3 linked regions of the Drosophila melanogaster genome follow. The protein of the gene in region 1 interacts with the protein of each later gene in a pairwise test. Each region holds a gene or a part of one and is shown in the gene's direction. Other genes may lie near its edges.

The links.
Region 2: the proteins of slp1 (region 1) and CG11695 interact in a two-hybrid assay, tested with the Drosophila melanogaster proteins (one large-scale study listed by BioGRID).
Region 3: the proteins of slp1 (region 1) and CG43894 interact in a two-hybrid assay, tested with the Drosophila melanogaster proteins (one large-scale study listed by BioGRID).

Annotation. Positions count from the first base shown.
Region 1 is NT_033779.5:3,823,662-3,827,642, forward strand, and holds slp1 (sloppy paired 1), read left to right. Parts: upstream 1-2,013; 5' UTR 2,014-2,122; coding exon 2,123-3,091; 3' UTR 3,092-3,438; downstream 3,439-3,981. UniProt on the Drosophila melanogaster protein: Transcription factor involved in segmentation. Required for the formation of the mandibular lobe. Different levels of slp activity seem to be required in different segments.
Region 2 is NC_004354.4:11,575,105-11,579,423, forward strand, and holds CG11695 (uncharacterized protein), read left to right. Parts: upstream 1-1,778; 5' UTR 1,779-1,848; coding exon 1,849-1,974; intron 1,975-2,040; coding exon 2,041-2,714; coding exon of another isoform or gene 2,715-2,739; exon of another isoform or gene 2,740-2,772; coding exon 2,773-2,970; intron 2,971-3,028; coding exon 3,029-3,665; 3' UTR 3,666-3,702; downstream 3,703-4,319. Other genes in the region: CG11696 (uncharacterized protein), read left to right, coding at 1-90, 150-534, 594-935; e(y)2 (enhancer of yellow 2), read right to left, coding at 1,069-1,374.
Region 3 is NT_037436.4:12,887,736-12,891,621, forward strand, and holds CG43894 (uncharacterized protein), read left to right. Parts: upstream 1-2,034; 5' UTR 2,035-2,488; coding exon 2,489-2,549; intron 2,550-2,607; coding exon 2,608-2,736; intron 2,737-2,804; coding exon 2,805-3,322; 3' UTR 3,323-3,370; downstream 3,371-3,886. Other genes in the region: CG14120 (uncharacterized protein), read left to right, coding at 1-1,432.

The DNA of each region.
Region 1 (3,981 bases):
GCTTAGAAAAGAAAGAAACGCTCTGCAGAAGAAAGAATAGTAACTGAACCTGCCGCCTCGGCAATTGTTAACCGCCTACTTTTTTCGACTGCCTATACCTTTCTTTCTCTATCGCTCGATTGCCGTCTCTTTCGGGCACTTTTAACTTTGCCGACTTCTCTGAGTGCATCATTATCATCGGCAATTGGACTACTGCGTTAAAAGTGCGCTGCCTACTTTTTTCTTCCCAACTCCTCCATTGTTTTGTTCACTTATTTTTTATTTTTTGGTTTTGGGCAAAAAATAAAATATGAGAAGGGAGCAAATTAATAGACAGTCATTTGGAACATGTGTTGTTGCTGCTTTGATTGTTTTGTCAAGTTGTCTAAGATATCAAACGCACAGTGCCGCCGACAAGTATTCGCCCCCATCCATTCATTCATCCATCCATCCATCTGTAATAACCCACAGCGCTGACGTCTTCATTGTGTCTACTTGACTTTCGCCCGATTTATCTGCCTGTATATTTGTTCAATTGTTCTAACAAAACATGCCATAAAAACATAAAACACTATGGACACAAAAACCACTTGTACATTCGTGTTTTTGTAGCCGGGGTCCAGTCTCGGTCCATTGCCAACCCACTCGCAAACGAAAAGTCCGGACTTCAAAGTCCATTTCGGTAGCAAAGTAGAGTCGGCGAGACTTCGTTTGATCCCAAAGGATGTTTGTCCATGTGAGTTGCATGTGTCCTTGAGATCCACGGCACTGCAATCATCTCCTAATTTCCTAAAAGTGTCTTCAAGTATTAAAAAACCTTAGCCTACAAGTATTATCGCATTCTTTATCATAGAACAAATTGATATTCATTCAAATTTAAGCTATCTTAAAATCTTAAACACACACACACAAAATCACCAAAATATGACTTAACTTTCGTGCAACCAATTTTAAATTCCACTGCCAGCCAACACTGAGCACAAATATTTGCCAGAGTCCATGCTTATAATTTTCCAAATCTATTAATCTCCAAAAGGATTGCCAGAGATCCACATTGATTCTGGCGAAGCGCGCCCAGAACTAATTCGCAAATCTGTCGCGAAACTAGAACAAATCCCGGTGCTCGGAGGTTTAACCCCTTCGGATTACCTGAGTCCTGCGTTCTGCGTCCTGAGCTCCATTGAGCTGTTGAAAATCGTGCCGTAAGCCAAGGCAGGATCTGCCTCAGATAATCCCCGGACCACAAAAGCGACCCTTGAACTAGTTTGGGCGGGATTAGGAGCAACTCGAGGAGTCTGTGTCGCAGATCGCTAGTGCAGTGGTTCGCAGAATTCAATGTCATATGATAAGTGGATCAAAGCACCAATCCAATATTCTAGAACATTGTAAATATCTTTACTTATATCTATAAAAGCATATTTAATATCTTTGAGTTAATTATGACTGAAATTAGGTCATTGCCAGAACACTCTAATATCTGACAAAGTGTAAATGTCATCCCCATTGAAGTGATTAGAAATGGCCCAATTTGTAAATTACTCTCGGATCCCAATCAAAAATCATCGAACTCGAATTATAAACATCCTGATTAAATTGCAACTGCCCGAAATTGGTGTTTTTGTTTTTATTGCCGCTTGTTAGTGCAATTAATAGTCAAAACAGCGAGCGGAAGCGAGACGCACTGAGAGCAACCCCAAAATACCGACCCTGTTTGGATTGGATGTAATGGATATTTTGACGCCGAAGCAGCAAAAGACTGCAAATAAACATCCACAAGTTCCCAAACAACGTCTACAAACATATAGCCAACATATAGTTTCGTGTGGAAGGCGAGTGGAACAAAATGGTCACAAAATGGAGGGCGGAGTCTTGTGAAGAGGGTTTAACTGCCCAACTACCTGATGCCCATCCCTTTCGCACTCCCTGTGCGCATTAGCTACCCGTCTCTTTCGGCCTGTGGGCTCTCTTCGTGTAGACTTCGTTCGAGCGACCGGGGGTTGGACTATAAATAGCCCGATCCGGGGCTGTAGAGAATCAGCTTAGAGCTAGCATCTCAAGAGCAAACATCTCAAGCGATCCCAAGTCGTGTGTGAGAATCAGAAACCAAAGAAAACAAAAATCTAAAGATATCCGAATCAGAAAAATGGTGAAAAGTGAAATGGAATTCAAGAGCAACTTCTCCATCGATGCCATCTTGGCCAAGAAACCCATCAACACCGCAACTCAACCCATCAAAACCGAACCGGTGCATCATCATCATCAGTACGTTCATCCGTACTCCAATTCCGATGGCGAACTCTCGGCTTCGGAGGATTTCGACAGCCCCAGCAGGACCAGCACACCCATGAGCAGTGCCGCCGAGAGTCTATCGTCGCAAAACAATGACAAGCTCGACGTGGAGTTCGACGATGAGCTGGAGGATCAGCTGGACGAGGACCAGGAGAGCGAGGATGGCAATCCCAGCAAGAAACAGAAAATGACCGCCGGCAGCGATACCAAGAAACCGCCATACAGCTACAACGCCCTCATCATGATGGCCATCCAGGATAGTCCCGAGCAGCGGTTGACTTTGAATGGCATCTATCAGTATCTGATCAATAGATTCCCCTACTTCAAGGCCAACAAGCGGGGCTGGCAGAACTCCATTCGCCACAATCTGAGCCTGAACAAGTGCTTCACGAAGATTCCCCGCAGCTACGATGATCCCGGCAAGGGCAACTACTGGATCCTGGACCCCTCGGCCGAGGAGGTATTCATTGGCGAGACCACCGGCAAGCTGAGGCGCAAGAATCCCGGCGCCAGTCGCACTCGCCTGGCCGCCTATCGTCAGGCCATATTCTCGCCGATGATGGCTGCTTCACCATACGGAGCTCCAGCTTCCAGCTACGGATACCCGGCTGTTCCATTCGCCGCCGCTGCCGCCGCCGCCCTGTACCAGCGCATGAATCCCGCTGCCTATCAGGCTGCCTATCAGCAGATGCAGTACCAGCAGGCTCCTCAGGCCCACCATCATCAGGCGCCCCATCCCGCCCAGATGCAGGGCTATCCACAACAATTGAACGCCGAGTTGTTTCAGCGCATGCAGTTCTTTGGCAAGTTTCCATCCAGCTAAATCTTGGCAGTCGGCGCAGAACCAAGCCCAGCGCTTTGGATCGAAAAAAAAAACCCAGGGACAAAAGGGTCGCTTGGGGAAGAGCTAGGACTGGTAGGACTTCCTGCTCGCTTGCCCCGTGGAAAAACCCGTGACGTCTAAATGCTGCATTTAGCAAATTCCTTTGGTCATCATCGCATTGACCGCTTCGCTTCTTCAGCGGCTCCTCCGAATCGACTTGGAAAGTCGATGGTTAACGGCAATGAATGCGCAGCCAAATCTTCAGGACTGCTGAAGAAGGATTCCTGCCAGCCGAGAGCCCTTGTAGTTTGCTCACCAACTTTTGTACATATGTAATTAGGAAATATAAAAAAAAAGAAAAAAAAATAATAAACAAATTTAAAAAGAAAAATTTCAAACGGCTTTCTTATTTTTAAAACCATTTCAGAATATAACAATTTTTTGGATCGAGTTATCGACACTTGAAAAATATTCATCAGTGAATAAGACTTAATGGCACTTTTTCGTTATTATTTAACTGCCTTTCTCTGAGAACTCAGCAGCTTCTTTTTCCGTTGACCATCAGCTGCTGTCCAGCTCACAGTCACATCCCGTAAATATTTACCCAGCTTCCTCCAGCAACTTGCTTTCATCCTGATGACTTAATTAGTTGTTTGCTAGCCAGAGCGGCAAACATGAAAATGATTCCCGAAAAAGGCAGAAAAATGCCAGAGGATGAGGTTCAAAATGAGCCATCACCCATTGACTCGATTTTGTTTGGCTCTTTACATGCCCAGTGACAACTCCAGCTGTGCGAGATGTGCTGGGCACCGCAGGTACGATCCGTTTCGATCCGATCCGATATGATATCCCATATAGCCCCGGCTCGGTTCCTGGTCCCCTGTACGCAT
Region 2 (4,319 bases), on another chromosome or scaffold:
GCGCTTTGCCAAGAAATTCCTGCTGACCATGCATCTTAAAGGACACAAGGGCACCGAGCGTCCCGAGGTGTGCGACACCTGCAGCAAGACGTGAGTGGCGCTAGACTGGTAGGCGAATGTACTAATGCGTTGCTCTCTTACTTTCATAGATTCCGCACCAAGTTTGAGCTAAGTGCCCATGTAAAGCGCATGCATGCGGCAGACTTTACGCCCATCATATGCGACATATGCGGTACACACTTCAGGAGCAAGGCCAACTTTCTCATCCACAAGAAGGCGTTGCATCCGGACGGGCCGGTGGCGGAGGTGCAGTGTACCCTGTGCGGCCGCTGGCTGCGGGACGAACGGAGCCTGCGCAAGCATCTGGCACGCCACGATGACCGCGACGGCGACACCAAGTACCGATGCCTGCTCTGCAATGCAGAGAAGTCATCCCGTGCCGCACTCAGCAGCCACATGCGGTACCATCACTCCGCCAAGCGGCACAAGTGCAGTCTCTGCGACAAGGAGTTCAAGCTGCCGCGGGCATTGGCCGTGAGTTGACCAGCGTATCAGATTCTGATCGTGCTAATCCCGGAACGTTTTCATTACAGGAGCACATGGCCACTCACACGGGCATCGATCTGTACCAATGCCAGTTTTGTACGCGCACCTTCAAGTCTCATGCCAACATGCACAACCACAAGAAGAAGATGCATCCCAACGACTGGGTGAGAAAGTACTCGCAGCCCAGCAGTAGCATTACCTCCACAGCGGCTCCACTTGCTCATCCCAATCATCCTAACCAGCCTGCTCCTCCAGCGGCAGCTCCGACTAATCTAGCCGGGCACATGCTGCCGCCACTCGGTGGCATTGCCAAGTCGCTGATTGAGATACCCGATACCGAGGGCTTCGATTTCGGCAGCAACAGCTCCGTGTGCCCCACGCCCGACTGAATCTGTGTGTTGTGTGTCTGTGTTTGGTGTCTGTCCCTGCGACTTTGTGTACACGTTCCCTGGTCGGGATTTATGTATAAAATCGTACAAATAAACTTTATTAATATACAAATCCAATGACGCTGAGTTAAAGTTAGGATTCGTCCTCTGGCTCATCGGGTTCCTCCTCAATTTCCGTGAGAATGGTGCGTATCTTCATAAGCAGCTCCTTTTTGACGGCATCCGGGACCAGGGTGCGTGCCTTGGGTGTTACCTCGGCGATCAGCTGCTCTACGGTGAAGCTGTTGTTGGTGCCCTTCTCCATCAGGATGTTGCGGCACATCAGACGCACCTCGTCCCGCCAGCCACATTCCGTAAGGCGGCTGCAGAGCAAATCCTTGATCTTGGAACGGTCGCCGGTTAGCACCGTGTACTGATCAACTGCGCCGGAAGTGCTCATCCTTGTGTCGCGTATCTAAGTCTTGCAAATTACCAAGTTTCCTTTTTCGAGTCCTTGTCGATTTCGCAGCGTCTGTTTTTTTGCTTTTCTTCGCTGCATCTATCTTTTTGAGCTGTGTTTTTGTTTTGTTGTGTTGTGATGTTGGTACAGTGGTCATGGCAAACAGTCTGGCTACTTTGTAGCTAGTTTTTAGATACGGACATTAATCAACTTTAAAGAAATGAAAATATATTACCAAATATATGTAAAGTTTTAAAAATTTTTAGTTTAAATTGGAATGTATGCACAATTCGTATGTTTTCGGTCATTTTCCTGGGTCACTTAAAATTTAAGCTGCTTTTAAGCGCCCACTCTGGCATCTCTGTCGCTCGAAGTTTATTCAGCCTGGCAGTCTGGCAACACCTCGGCGACGTCTTAAACTGAATTTGCGAGGCAATTAATTGAATTAATTGCTTTTCCTACAGCTGTAGTGCAATGATATGCCGCCTGTGCCTGGACGATGCTGAGCACAGTGTGCCAATCTTTGACCAGGATGACTCCGGCGATCAGCCAGTGCCCTCCAATCTAGCGGAGCTAATTGAGAAACACCTGCAGTTGGTGGTAAGCAGTGAATTCCGTTTGAACCACCAACATTTGTTAATGACCAGATTGCATCCTTGTTACCAGCTCCTGCCCAACGATGGGGTGTCCAAGAGCCTCTGCACCCAGTGCTGGCAGCAGTTGGCCGACTTCGAGCAGTTCTGCGCCATGGTGATGAAGAAACAATTGGGCCTGCAGCAACTGAAGATGGAGCCGTTCTCCGAGGACGAGGATGCGGACACTAAGGCGCAGATCCTGTGCGAACCGGAGATCGATGTGAGTCCCGCGGCCGCCGACAACGAAGAGTGCAACGAGATCGACGGCGATGCCAGCAGCAACAGCAGAAGCAGTAGCATTCGCACCACATCGCTACGAGAAATGCGCCTGCCGTCGCCCATTAGACGCCGTATGCGTCTACCCCGGGCAGTCACAGCACCCAAAACTCAGGCTGTCAAGGCCAAGGCCAGGACGAAGACCCACAAGGCCGAGGCGGACGAGGATGAGGATGCCGAAGGCGAGGGCGATCCAGAGAGCCGCAGCAGCAATAGCCGCGAAATGGACAGCTATATCGCTCTGCACGGTCGTTTGGAGTGCTGCATTTGCGGCGGCGACGAACAGTTTCCCAATTTCGCCGAGATGAAGCGGCACTTCCGGAATCATCACCAGTCCCTCGGTTATGTGGTCTGCTGCCAGCGGCGCTACAAGAAGCGTGCCCTCTACGTGGACCACCTGCACATGCACAACGATCCGAATTACTTTAGGTACTTGACCAGCCCAGGCAATTGATTGAATCCCCCTACTAATGAATGAACTGTGCAGGTGCAAGATCTGCTCCAAGCAACTGGTCAGCCGGATTAGCTACGATGTACACATGCTACGCTTCCATCCCAACAAGGACGACCTAAGCTTCGCGTGTGATCAGTGCTCAAAGCGGTTCTCCAAGCAGTTCCTTCTCACCATTCACTCCAGGGTGCACCAGCAGGAGCGCAATGAGCAGTGCAAGCACTGCGACAGATCGTAAGTGTAGGCAGCAAGTAGAAGAGCGAATTGATGAATTGCCTCTATCCGCCCACAGCTTTCGCACCGCCGTTGACCTGCGGCTGCATATGCGACGCACCCATGACCCCGCCTTCGTACCCTTCATCTGCGACTCGTGCGGTGCCAAGTTCAAGACGAAACAGAACCTGCTAGTGCACAAGCGGACTGTGCATCGCGAGGGCTCCCAGCTGCCCGAGGTACAGTGCCAGGAGTGCCAGGTGTGGCTGTCCGACGAGAACAGTTTGCGCAAGCACATGTACATGCATCTGGATGCCGCCTCGCTGCGTCAGTGGAAGTGCGAGCAGTGCGGCCTGGAGAAGGGTTCGCGGGCCAAGCTGGCGGCCCACATACGCTATCATCATCCGAAGGAATACCACAAGTGCACGCACTGCGCCAAGGAGTTCAAGAGCAGTCGCAGCCTCGAGGAGCACACAGCCACGCATACCGGCCAGGATTTGTACGAGTGCGCCTTCTGCGAGCGCACCTTCAAAAACTCGGGGAACATGCACAAGCACCGCCGCCAGATGCACGCCGCCCAGGTGGCCGCCCTGCAGCAGCAGAAGAAGGTGCCGCCCAGCAAGCGCAAGGACAAAGGTGACCTGCTGCTCGACGTCCTGGCCGCTGGAGGCAAGGATATGAGCCACGTCATGGGTGCGGGCGACATGAATGACTGATTGATTCTAAAAACCAAATAAACTAGATTGGAATGACACATAAAACACATTTAATTCGAAATAAGTTTGGGTATTATTAGCTTATAATATTCAAAAGTGTATTTTGCAATTGGAACGAATTTGGAATCCCGCTATTTTCGGATTCATGCAGTTCCCATTATATTTTATTCGGTATTGGAATCCCGCTATTTTCGCATTCATGCAGTTCCCACTATATTTTATTCGGTATTTTCGCAGTCATTAGTGTGGCCAAAACTCGAAAATATCAAGGGCTAGAGCAGCTAGATGTTGCGGCATTCGCGGCCTGGTCACACTAAGCTAGGGCTACTTTTTATATCATAAGTCGAGCGTTTAGGTAAGCGAAACAAAAAGAGCTTTAGTTAGAGGTATTAGTTTGGTTGCTATTATTTCTAAATTGAAAACTTCACTTCCTTTGATCCAAAAGACACTGAAAAGACACGTTTGCAGTTGAGTTCATTATTTTCTGGTATACATACACACTGATTACTCATTCAATTGGCATTTTGCTCTTGTTTTTCTCCGATTGCCTTGCACTCGCATAAATTTAACACAAAAAAGAAGTTCGGGGTGTTTAGAATCCATCCACTTGGTACAGTTCCCATCGAGCTGGTGAGTACTCCGCGCAGTGCAACG
Region 3 (3,886 bases), on another chromosome or scaffold:
TGTTATCGATCAGGAAAGTCGCAAGGGAGTAGTTCTAATTGTGGTCAACAATCCACATATAACATTGACGGAGACCCTCGAGGATTATGTGATCTGTGAGGATGTGGGAGCGCAAATCGATTGGTTGGACTGGGACAAAGCAAACCTGCAGAAGGGCTACTCCTATGCGTGCTCTGTAGAAGATTTCATCGAAGTGGTTAAGGATTTGCCCACAGATCAACTGCAAACAACAGGAATTCTTGGTTTGACTGATCAAATCTTGGACAATGAAGTGTGCAGCTTTAAAGTGAACGGTGATCTTAAGGATCCGGCTCCTTTATTTGTAGTCAGGAGTGAATTGGGTCATGCGAGATATTTGGAACCGAATCAAGAAGGAGTAGTTCAGCTAAAACATGGAGAAGCCCTTGAGTTCCACTGCATCAATTCTTTCAGTGGACCCTTCTCTGGTTATACCTTCGTCAATTCAACATGCTGGCAACAGCAGAGCATCCTGGCAATGGGCAGTTTGTATCAGCTGCAGGACTTTGTCTGCACTTCCTGGCCAACATACACTGCTCGTCGCTCTGGTCGTCCCTGCAATGGTGGTACTGATCTGCTTGAAGTGGGCTTTCAGCTGTCATCCTCCTCGAGCGACGACTTCCTGCAGACCTATGACGTGTGTCACGATGAACTGAGCGAAGTCACCCGCTATGTGCATCATGTTTTGTACCCCGGAAGTGACCAATATCAGCGATCTGTATCCAGGCCATCCTTTATACCCGGCGACTTTTACGGAGGCAAGGATGTGAACACTTTGTACACCCAAGTTCAACAGAATATCACGGTTTCCGAGATTTTGGGCATGGATGCCTCACCATACTTCAACACCACTGGTAATGTCTATCTGGCTCGGGGTCACCTTTCTGCAAAGACCGACTTTGTCTTTGGGGCCGCTCAAAAGGCGAGCTTCTTCTTTGTGAATGCGGCACCTCAGTGGCAGACCTTTAATGGCGGAAACTGGGAACGAATCGAGGACAGTGTGAGAAAGTTTGTGGCGGATGAAAACATCACAGTGGATTGCTATACGGGCACATGGGGTGTGTCCACCCTGCCGGATGTAAATGGCATTGGAAGGGAGCTCTATTTGGACTTTGATGAAAACAACAATGGTCTGATTCCAGTGCCAAAGTTGTACTTCCGCGTGATTATCGATCGCGAGAGCAGAAATGGCATCGTGCTACTTGGAGTTAACAACCCACATGCCACCATTGAGCAAATCGAAGAGGAGTACATCATCTGCCAGGATATTGGCGCCCAACTGAGTTGGGTCAGTTGGACCAAAGAGGACCTAAAGAAGGGCTATTCATATGCCTGTACTGTGGAGGACTTTACTGCAGTGGTGAAAGACCTACCTTTACAAGACCTGTTTGTCGATGGAGTCCTGGGTGTTTAATATCAGATTTTGTGGGTGTGCAATTTCCAAAAAAAAAAACGAATTTCTTAATTTAAAACCAATAAAAAGACTATCTTAAAGAAAACAGGTTTTTATTGAAGGGTAGCCCTTAGGAAAATGCTTAAAGGCACGTTTAAATTAAGTTCTCATGGGCCATAAAACAGTGAAATCACGTTTAGCTTTTGTTCTCTTTGGAGTTTATTGCATGTTGGACATATTGATAAGAGTAAGGTTATCAAATGCTTGACGTTATCGTTTATGGCCGGGGTAGAGCTATTTATTTACCCAGCCATTGGATTATTTGCTCACGTGCCGCACGTTTCCAAAAGCCTTAATTTTTTCTGCTGTTCCAGTAGCCCAAGAGGCAGTCCCTTGGCCCGAATCGAAGTCCCAATGGCAGTGACTTTCACATTTTCTTATCGAAGCTAAGGAAATACCTTGTATTACTTGTGCGGTTCCCTTTGTTTATCTTATCGCAACACAATCGTCGCAGAACGTATGAAGTATACGCCTGCTTGGTTAATAATTATAATGGACTTTTTAGGGGGTAAACAAAAGGCAAAAACCGTAAATGAAGCAGATAGAAACCAAAATTGATTTATATTGGTCGAGTAATCATTCACTTAGAATTGTTGCGGATTCAACAATGCGGTTAAACTTCGTTTTAATTAATCAGTAATATCTATCAAGGCTGAAAGTGTGTGTTATTTTGTTAAGCAATGTTTATTTACCCCTGTTCAAGGCGTAGTTCAGAGACCGTTTAATAGATAGTTCTATTCGGCTAACCTACTGCTGAAATATTTAGGCAGTAACTTATTAATCGTGTAAGTTTTAATGTACTGCATTTAAACAGCCATACAAAAATATTCAATTAGCGCTGTTTAATGAACTTTTATTTATGTTAGAAAGAGTCAGAACAATAATCATCATATTTCGGTGATTTAATTTTGCAAATAATCATTACCGCAACTCATCAACCATGAAATATCAAAATGATATAAATATGAGGGATTTAGGGAAATGAATTTAGTTAGTTTCGGAATTTTACAAGAGAAAATGGAACTTGTTGGTATATATTTGATATTAGCCACGACGATTGTTGTCCAAGGATACAGAAGTAAGTCAGCGAACAGGATAAGGGATAAAATCTAAAAAATTCCCCACTATCAATACAGAATTTGGACTTAGTTGTGAGGATATTGCCTGTATATCTGGTAAAAAATGCATTGTATCCAGAGTTCCCTGCGAAAACCCAAATCAGCAAGAAGGAGAACAATGTGGAACCTATCCGGAGTGCCAATCAGGTTCGTAAAATTTTGTTTTTTCATCGGTTCACACTGAAATCTGGTCCTTTTCAACTGATCCGTTTCAGATCAGCTGGCCAGCGATTTCATCATCGACACTACACAGACCACTGCCAACACCCGAAACAGCATCATCATACCCAGCACTTCCACGAGTCGCAATCGGAATAATAGGAACAGTGACTTTAAACTGCTGAGCGATTTCAGTAACTCCGATACATTTGCCACCCATGCAGGCCAACGGCAGGCTAATGTTTTGGTTATTGTTCAAGATGGTTCCCAGCAACCTCAACAGCCAAATCCTTGGCTAAATCGAGGACAAAGTCCTCCCTGTACCATCAGTCCGCTCTACCCATATTCCTGTACTTATCCCCGTTATCCGAATTCGGGAGCAGGATTGCCTTCTTATACGCAGCAGCGATCGGCCAATGGGCCACAATTAGTTCCTCCCACTCCACCATGCTACTATAACTGCTATCCCAGTGTGCGGTCAAGTTCATATGGTCAATATGGATACCCCCTGTCTAGATCAGCCAATCCCTCATCAACCAATAACTATTTAATCTACCTCACATTAGCTGGCTAAAAGACCAGGAGCTTTAGTTATGTGCAAATAATAAATATAGAATCTATTATCAACCTTTTTTTTTCGTTTCTATATCTTCGCCAGTTTTGCACCGTTTCCGGCGAACGCCACAAATGCCTTATCAGCCTGTGGGGATGCCAGCTTCAATGCCACCCGGGTATCCACCACCTCGCCCACCGTTTCAAATGCAGCAGCCGCGTCAAGTTGCACCACAATATGTGATTCCACCTCAGCCCAACCCACAGTACGCAATTCAATACCAGGCCAACCGGCAATATGCCATGCAAGGACAACCCAATTCGGCCAATCCTTGGCTCCACTTCTCAGTAGGGATGTCCTATCCAACGTATATGAACTATAATGGACGTTCCGCTGGGAACTCACTTCCATCATTTTACAATCCGTACCCACCCAGTTATAGTACCTATAATTACAATATTAACTTACCCTTTTCGGGTGGATCTTCCTAAGATCTTCGATACTGGTTAAAAAAAATTCAAAGCTACTCAGCACCGGATGGACTCCTTCCGAACATTATTTCATTACTTTCAAATTTGTCGTTCC